Linked DNA regions of Oryctolagus cuniculus. The protein of the gene in region 1 binds, or shares a complex with, the protein of each later gene. Links are inferred from orthologs where the notes say so. Each region holds a gene or a part of one and is shown on either strand. Other genes may lie near its edges.

What was found.
Region 2: the proteins of BCL2L1 (region 1) and BAD are in contact, whole or in part, in a crystal structure (PDB 2BZW), measured with the Mus musculus proteins. The link is inferred for Oryctolagus cuniculus from reciprocal best matches to the Homo sapiens genes BCL2L1 and BAD. Residues at the interface, in NP_001276645.1 of Mus musculus: Ala93, Glu96, Phe97, Arg100, Tyr101, Arg103, Ala104, Phe105, Leu108, Gln111, Leu112, Gln121, Ser122, Gln125, Val126, Glu129, Leu130, Arg132, Asp133, Asn136, Trp137, Gly138, Arg139, Val141, Ala142, Phe146, Asp193, Leu194, Tyr195, Gly196; in NP_031548.1 of Mus musculus: Ala137, Leu141, Ala143, Ala144, Gln145, Tyr147, Gly148, Arg149, Leu151, Arg152, Met154, Ser155, Asp156, Glu157, Phe158, Glu159, Phe162, Lys163.

Annotation. Positions count from the first base shown.
Region 1 is NC_091442.1:25,992,947-25,997,328, reverse strand, and holds the start of BCL2L1 (bcl-2-like protein 1), read right to left. Parts: upstream 2,932-4,382; coding exon 2,368-2,931; intron 1-2,367. UniProt on the Homo sapiens protein: Potent inhibitor of cell death. Inhibits activation of caspases. Appears to regulate cell death by blocking the voltage-dependent anion channel (VDAC) by binding to it and preventing the release of the caspase activator, CYC1, from the mitochondrial membrane.
Region 2 is NC_091432.1:7,036,834-7,041,239, reverse strand, and holds the start of BAD (bcl2-associated agonist of cell death), read right to left. Parts: upstream 2,996-4,406; coding exon 2,839-2,995; intron 2,683-2,838; exon of another isoform or gene 2,535-2,682; intron 1-2,534. UniProt on the Homo sapiens protein: Promotes cell death. Successfully competes for the binding to Bcl-X(L), Bcl-2 and Bcl-W, thereby affecting the level of heterodimerization of these proteins with BAX. Can reverse the death repressor activity of Bcl-X(L), but not that of Bcl-2.

The DNA.
Region 1 (4,382 bases):
AACAGCATGCCAATTCCACAAGGGAAGGGCCTATGGCTGGTTATGGCCAACACCTAGCGCCCTGCCCACCTCCGTAAACGCTCAGCAAACTCATTGCTTAAGAACCTAACACAATGCCTAATACATAGGAGGGTCTCCGTAAAGGCTAATTTCCTTCCCTTTCCTGTGACGATGCCAAATTTAGACAACATCCGTCGGCAGGCAGAGTGGCCCGTAACTCCTACGCTCAGGGATCCCTCAGCTGAGGCCTCCAGGCTGAGCTGCTACTGCAGTAGCCAGTCACTGCTGCTCAGAGCAGGGTGGCACCTTTCCCGGCTCGCTCGGAGGGCTCTGACTCAAATGTTCTTCACCCACTGGTCTCAGGGGAAGAACACACTCCCAGGAATGGTTCTGACACAACTCGCTCTTCTACACACGTCCTCTGTGTTCACTAAGAGGAAGCGACGTGTGTGTGTGAGTGTGAGTGTGACTGTGTGTGTGTGTGTGGTATGTTGTCCAACGGGCTCTGACATTTTTCAACGAGGCGATGGGAGGTGGAATTTCCATCCAGTGGCGGGCGAATGGACGGGCCCAGGCCTGCTGGGTTTTAGACCTTTTTCACCCGCAACGCTGGGTTGCTGGCAATTCTCTGATTGGGACGGCCCTCTGCAGACTGGCTGGCAGACCAGGCACCTCTCCCAACCTGCCTTTTGTTTATAGCTGGCCACAACTCACCTGGTATTAGGACCACTGGCCAGAGACAGTGGTCAAGGCAAAGTGGGCAACTGGCCCACGTCCCTCCACAGAGATGCCTCCGAGGGTGTGTCTGTAGTACTGGAATCCTGGAATCAGCTGAACAAATATTTGCCCCCAAAGAGAATCAAAGCAGGAGGGACCAGGAGAGGTCATCACACAAAACCCAACAGGAACTGTTTAATCATTTATCCCCCAGGGAGTTCATTTACAGAATGGCTTTTCAAGTCTATCAGCCTTAGCTCCAGGGAGCCTCCGGCCTCTACCACCCCCACCCCCACCCCCACCCCCACCCCCACCCCGTCGCCTACTGACTTGACCCCCTAGCCTTTTTCAAGAGCCTGCTGAGGAGATGAGCTGAAGTTGCAAAGAAACGGGAAACGAGCCAGGGGGTGGGGTTCCAGGAGAAACTCAGGAGGTTTGGCTCCACGGTAAAACCGAGTGCCGGCCACGCCCCGGCCCAGCCCACGACAATCACATTCCTGGCATTCCTGAGTCCAGGTGCGCGGCCCTTCCACCTCTGCTCCCTCAATGGATGACTTATTCCCCACAGCCTGTGGATTTTCTGCATTTTCTGAGGGAACAGAATGCCTGTGTTCCGCACCTCCCCTGGGCAGGGAGACCAGCAAGGAAACAGGACCAACCCCGCCTGCAGTGACCACTGGTGCAAAAGGTCCCTCCACCACCTCCTCGTGACTCAGGGACGGAGAGAGACACCTCCCTGTCTGGACTGGGAGCTCCCTGGCGTCCCTCACTCTGCTCACGCCACCTCCAAGGCTTCCAGGACTCTGCGAGACCAGGCGAGCTGGCCACGTTTCCCAGTGCAGGAAACTGAGGCTCAAGAAAGTAAAGAGCCTGTCCAAGGTCACACAGCTGGCCAAGAGAGAGGGCTGGCGCTCCCACTCACGTCCAAAGTCTGACACCAAATCTCAATGGCCCACAGAGCCCCACAGACTGACTTCTTGCCTTGCCAGCCGGCCAGTCAGAGGCAGAGCAGCTGGAGCTCCTCACCCCACCCCAGGCAGCGAGTGAGGTGCAAAGTCCTGGGGCTTAAAGCGTGACACAGCAAGAGCTCCACAAACAGGCCAACCGTGCAGAAAGTTGCAAGCTGTGTGCAGCACCAACTCAGGAGGTGCAGCACCAACACGAGTGGCACAGCCCACGCTGACCTAGAATCGGACAATTCCGAACCCACCAAGCCACTGGGGGGAACTCCTGCTTGGCCACATAAGAAAACTCTGAAATAAAGGGAAGGAAGCCCAGGTCAGGACGGCCAGTCCTGGAGAAGAAAGGACGCAGCGACTTGTGGGTCCCCGGCACGCCACCACCTGCTCCAGACATTCTGCTTGTCACCCTTTCAAAGCATGGAGAGCCACTGCTCCAGAGTGAGGGGGGCACTGGACCAACCCCCCACTCACAGATCAACACCTCAGCTATTCTGTGCTGAGAAACTGGAAAATAAGCATGGAAGATCAGGGTCATGAGGGTGCCCAGATGGAAAGAACCAGGTCTGGTGCTGAAATGGGGCCAGTGCCTCCAACAGTCATCTAACTAGCAGAAGCTGCAGGGAAAGGCTGCTGGGGGTCCTCTGACAGAGGCCAAAGCACAGGGACAAATGAGGGGTGTGGTTCTTACCCAGCCGCCGTTCTCCTGGATCCAGGGCTCCAGGTGATCATTCAGGTAAGTGGCCATCCACGCCGCGATCCGACTCACCAATACCTCCATCTCCTTGTCCACGCTTTCCACGCACAGTGCCCCGCCGAAGGAGAAAAAGGCCACAATGCGGCCCCAGTTCACCCCATCCCGGAAGAGTTCGTTCACTACTTGTTCAAAGCTCTGATATGCTGTCCCTGGGGTGATGTGGAGCTGGGATGTCAGGTCGCTGAATGCCCGCCGGTACCGCAGTTCAAACTCGTCGCCTGCCTCCCTCAGAGCCTGCTTCACTGCTGTCATGGGGATCACCTCCCGGGCATCCAAACTGCTGCTGTGGCCAGTGGCTCCGTTCACCGCGGGGCTGTCCGCCGGGTGCCAGGCTGGGTTGCCATTGATGGCACTGGGGGTCTCCATCTCTGGTCCAGTCCCTTCCGGGGCCTCAGTCCTGTTCTCTTCCACATCGCTAAACTGACTCCAGCTGTATCCTTTCTGCGAAAGCTTGTAGGAGAGAAAGTCAACCACCAGCTCCCGGTTGCTCTGAGACATTTTTATAATAGGGATGGGCTCAACCAGTCCATTGTCCAGAACACCTGCTCAGGGATTCTCTTCTGTGATCCAAAGCCAAAATAAGGCTCTGAAGGGAGAAAAAGAGCTTTAGGGAAAGAAAAAAAATTAGTATAAATGCCATTTCCCCCCGCAACATCCCCTTCCCCTTCCAGGTACCAAAACTCGTTTCTTTGTGGCTCCTATGAAGGTCTGGGTCTAGGTTCCACGAGACTTCAATGAAGTCAAATTGTAAGCACCACTGGGCTCTGAATCATCCCACTGGCCTCTTTTATCCCAGCCACCCCTTTTTCTCCGAAACGCTGTCCTCGGAAAGTCACCCCATGGGCAGTCCCCCCACCACCACCCGCCGCCCCCGCACCACCTACATTCAATTCCGTCTAAGCCGGCGACAGCAGGCAGGTGCACCCCCGTAAGATCTTTTGTATCATAGGTCGGGAGAGGAGGTGGCGGCAGGCCGGGATGCCGGTAACTCAGCCGGCTTCGCGGCGGCTGGCGAAACAAACAGCTCCGGCCGGAGGGATCATGCGACCCGGCAGGCTGGGCGCCCAGAAGGCGACACAGGAATTGCGACGCTCAGGAACCAGCCCGCTTGCTGGCTTGCTCCTCCATTGCCGGGATCCAGGGCCGCCGCTCCGCTCCGCTCCGCGCCCGCGGCCTCTAGCCACCCGGGAGCCCAGCCCCCTCGCTCTCGCACGCCCCTTGGCTCTCCGCCTCCTACTGGGAGCCAGGAGAACTCTCCCGGAGGTGGCTGCTGTAGGCTTAAGGTTTTTCTTTCTTTCTTTTTTTTTTTTTCCTCCTTCACTCCGGTCTATTTAAGTACCAGCCCTGGGGGAGGTTCCCGAAACCCTGAAGGGACTTCTCAATGGGGCTCAGGGTTTCGATGAGGGACGCGGGGAGGAGAAAGCTGCCTCCGATCTGCCATCTGACTCCGGGAAGGCCACCCCCGGGCCTTTCCGGGAAGCTGAAGGCCGGAGACCCCCAATAAACGCCGCTGATTTTCTTTGAATTCCCCAAAGGCCCTGAACGTGGCGGTGGGGGATTGCCAGGTCCTCCATTCCCCGCCCGGATACAATGGCCGCCGGCGCCCTGCACAAAGACGGGGTGAGGGGGAGGCGCTGGGCCTCTTCTCGGGTCGGGAAGAGGGGTCGAGGCCTGCTTGAGGCCCCCCACGGCTGAGACCACGTTTTCCTAGGGACAGGCCCAAGGCGGCTTCTGGGAGCCCCAAGAGGGCTCGGAGGCCGGGGGCTGAACCTCTCCGGAGCCCGGGGTGGGTGGGCTGCGGCCTTGAGGCTTCTCCCGCTCGCTAGGCCGGGTACCCGCCGAGCCACCGCCCCGTTGCTAGGCAACCACCCTCCCTCAGGGGCGCCCCCTAGACCTTTCTGGGAGGAGGGGTCTAGCCCCCGGCGGCCCTCCCCCGGCGTAGCCAATCG
Region 2 (4,406 bases), on another chromosome or scaffold:
CTCTCTCACTGTCCACTCTGCCTGTCAAAAATAAAATAAAATAAAAAAAATCTGAAAAAAACAAAAAACAAAAAACAAATAAATCTTTAAAAAAGTAAAAAGGAAAGTCTGGAAACAATTCCTAGGTTTTAGACAACTTTTATTGTATTATAATTTGCATTATAATTTTCCTTTTCGTGGTTAGTTAGTAATGCCATGTGCCTAGTTTACAATTAAACTTTGTGGCAGGCATGCTTGTATAGGAAGCGACATCGGAGTTCAGTGCCGCCCACGCCTCACGGCACCCACAAGCCAGCACCCTCTTACTGGGTGGGTGCTCCTGGACACAGTTCAGGGCTTTTTTTTTTTTTTAACCAAAACAAACTATATTATTTATTTTCAGTTTCTCTTTTAAAAATATTTATTTTTATTTGATTTGAAAGGCAAAGAGACACAGAGGGAGAGACCCTCCGTCAGCTGGTTCCCTCCCTAAATGCCTACAACAGCCAGGGCCGGGCCTGCAGAGCCCAGGAGCCCACAGTGAGCTTGGGTCTCCCGCGTACCTGCGCCGCCCCCGGCCGCCTCCCTGGAGCGCAGCCAGGACTCCGCAGGTCCTCTGACGGGGCGCAGTGTCCCCGGGGCCGAGCCGGGACTCCGCAGGTCCTCTGACGGGGTGCAGTGTCCCCGGGGCCGAGCCGGGACTCCGCAGGTCCTCTGACGGGCCGCAGTGTCCCCGGGGTCGGCTTCACCACGGCGCCACATCCACCCCTATTCCACTTAATTTGAGAAGGGGGACAGATCTTCCCCTGGCTGGCTCATTCCCCAAAAGCCTGCAACAGCTGGCGCTGGGCCAGGCTGAAGCCAGGAATTCAATCCAGGTCTCCCAGGTGGGTGGCAGGGGCCCCGTACTGAGCCATCCCGGGTGCACCCCGGCGGAAGCTGGATGAGGAACCAAGCAGCTGGGACTCCACCCAGGCACCCCGATCTAGGCTGCGGGTGTCCCAGAGTGACTTCACCACCGCACCGAGCGCCTGTTCCCGGTGTAGGTTTGTGGACCACGTAATCTTGGTGACAGTCACTCGCTTTTGTGGTCTGGGCTTCAGGGAAGCCATAAACAACATGTAAATGAAGGCACCGTGCCGTGTGCACAGACACCTTCGGGACTCCGAAATCTGAGTTTCATGTAATTTTCGTGTGTTACAAAATACCGTAGCTTGGATTTTTGTCGGCCACTGGAAAGTGGGGAAACCACCCTCAGCTCACGGGGCTGCACACAAACAGGAGTTAACCTATGGCCACGGTAGGCCCCGCCCCGCCCTACGACCAGCCCTGTCCGGCCGCCTACCCAAACCTTCGCTAGCCCTGCCGCTGGACTTGACTGAGACGCACTCCAGAGGCCTTGGCGTGGCCTTCCGGGCCCTCGTGTTCGCGCCTGCCCTCTGCGGGGCCCTGGGAGCACCCAGGCGTGTAACACGCCTGCCGGGTAACGCGACAAGCACAGAGGCTTGTGACCCGGCCCTGCCTCCACGCCCACAGCTGCTAGCACTTTCCCTACTAACTGGGAACCCCGAGGCGATCACAGCCGTGGGCTCGCGCGGAACCACCCTGCACCCCACAGCCTGGCCCAGTGGCTTCCCCGCTGGCCTGTCCCCTCCTAGGCTGAGTGTGCTGGGCGGTGGGCAGGGGCCCAGGCACCTGTGTGGACCTGGTATGGGCGACCAGTTGCTTTGGGCCGGCTGTCTGCTGTCTGCCCTCCTCCCGCAGCCCTCCAGCCAGGCTCCTTATCACCATCACCGCCTGCAGGCCATTCTCGGCCCCCCCCCGCCCCCCCATCTGGCTGCTTCTGGGGCCTTCACACCCTGCCGGCCTCCTCTGGGCCGGGAGACGCCCTTCTCCTCCCTTCTCGGCTGCTCTCTCCCTGCTTGGCCGGGGCCTCCAGTGCTGGGGCTCCACCTGGGCCCAACCCTGGTCCCTGTGCTCCCTCCCCGCCCTGCGTGCCCACCTCTGTCAAGGCAGCTTCACGCTCTCGGGCCCAGTGCCTGGGCGCCGCCGTCCTAGGGGCCTCCCTCTCCCTCGCAGCAAGGCCCCGTGGGCTCTCCCTCCAGGGTACATCATTTTGTGTTCCTGCCCCTTTGCGGGGGGGGGGGGGGGGCGGTGACGCTGCTGATGGGGAGCGACTGCCAGGTGGGGGTGGAGACCAGGTGGGGGCTGTGAGCACCAGCTGGACGCCGTGCGGAGAGGAACAGAGGGCGGCCGAGCTCGGGCGGGCGAGTGGTGAGTGACCGGCCTGGCTGCTGTTCCCGGATCTCCGTGGGCCGCTCCAGGAGCCTCCTGAGCCGTGCTCCTGGCCTCCCAGGGCTCTCGTCTAGCCCCCCACCCCGGCCTGCTGCCTGCCACGCCACTCACCTGGGCTAGGCGAGCCTCCCCTTGGGTGTGAGCAGAGGCCAGGGAAAACACACCCGGGAGCTAGAAGGCCCATCCCAGGCCAGCAGAGCAGCCCGGGGCAGAGCCTCCTGGAGTGTGACCTTAGGCGAGTCACTTCCCCTTTCTGGGTCACTGTCCACCTCTCACTGCACTGTCCCCGCCCCACCATAACAATGACTTTTTTCCTGGCCATGTACGGTATACCGGATTGATAACCCAGTGTTTCCTCCATACACCTGCTCGGCAGCCCAGCACTCCTGCCATGGTGGTAACCGACCGGTCAGTGTTACAGAAGGGGAGACTGGCTCAGAGGGGGCCGGGCCTTGCCCAAAGCCCTCAGTGAGTCGCGGTCAGCATGTGGGCAGCCACTGCTGGGCTGGGGCGGCAGGGGGGCGGTTAAGGGGCACTGGCGCTCCGCAGTGGGACGGAACCTACCTCCATGGTGGCTGCTGCGGCTCGGCTGCCGCTGCTGGTGACTGGCGTCCCCCCGGGGGCCTGAGGGCCGGTCCCCTGTGGGGCTGGGGCCCAGGCCCCTCTCGGCAGAGCTGGAGTCTTCCTGCTCACTGGGCTCAAACTCTGGGATCTGGAACATGCTCTGGGCTGTGGGACAAGACAGCAGGGCGTCAGGACACAGGAGGGGCAGACGGTCGCTGTCGGGGACGGCGGCAGGTGCGCCTGGCTCCCCCTTCCACCCCGGCACCCCGAGGCCCCCTGGGTCTCCCCAGGCCCTTCTCTCTCTAGGCCTGGCCCGGCAGGGGCACCCGAATCTCGGCATAGAGTTCTGGTGCTGTAGGGGCAGCCCGGGGCCCTTACCCAGGCCCCAGCCCGACCCAAGCCGCCGGGGGGCGACGCCGCACAGGCCTCACCCCGCGCCCGGCCGAGGCCCCCGACCCGGCTCCGCCGCCTCCCTCCAGGACCGAGGGCGCCCAGCCTTCGTTGCCTGGGCAACGGGAACTGTCAGCGGCCCGGCCCAATCAGCTCTCGAAGTGGAAGCCGGGTTGGCCCGGAGGCGGGGCCGCCTCCACCCGCGACCTGCCCGGGCCGCCGCCTTCCTCCTCGGTCCCCCCGGGCCGCCCGAGGCTCCGCTCCTGACTTACTCACGCCCTGGGCGTGTGTGGGAGCAGGTGAGGGAGCCCCTGGGGTCCCCGCGTGGGACCCGGAGGCCCGCTTCCGCCGACGAGCCCCTCGGGGCCCCCCACTGCGGAGTCGGGGCGACGGCGGCGAGGCGCCTCTCCCCGGGAGCCAAGTACAAGACACTCGTAAACAGTGGTGATTACTGTAGGTGAAAGGACTTGGCAAAGCCGCCAGCGAAGCTCCGCGGTCGGATGCAGTTGTCGTTGCTATTGTTACTGTTCCGCCCGCACTGGGCGACCCGGGCGGGAAGTCCCGCTCCCTCCTCCTCCTCCTCCTCCTCCCCTGCGTGGAGGCCTCGGGCGGCCCGCCGGAGGGCCTGCTCCTCGCGCCGTCTCGGGATCACTCGAGATAAGGCAGGGCACCTCCTCCCCGGCAGGATGAGGGCCCGGGCGCGGGAGAAGGGACAGGGGCCCCGGTGAGGGCGAACCGTAGGCCTCGAGGGGCTCCGCGTCTGGCAGGCGGCGCGCGGGCGGCCGGCCAGGTGAGCGGGGGCCGCGCGGGCCAGGGCGAGGGGCGCGCCAGCGGCCCTGCGGGGCAGCTTCGGGGTCCCGCGGGTGGGGGGCCGGGGGCGGGGCCCGGAGGCCATCTTGGCTACGGGCGGAAGTTTCCCTCGGAGGCTGAGTGAGGGGGCGCCGTTGCCGCCTCCGGCCGGGCGGCGCAACACTGATTTGGGGATGGGGGCGAGAGGTGTAGGGGCTCGCGGCCCTCCACAGACAAGCCAGGTCTGGTGGCGCAGGGCGCAACCCGGCCGGGCGCCCCCCAGGTACGGCGCGGCCCCCGCCTCTCCTCCGCCCGCCGCTTCTTGTAACCCGGGGCGCCCGCCGGCGGCGCACCTCGCGCCGATTCTCCACTGAGTCTACGCCGGGCGC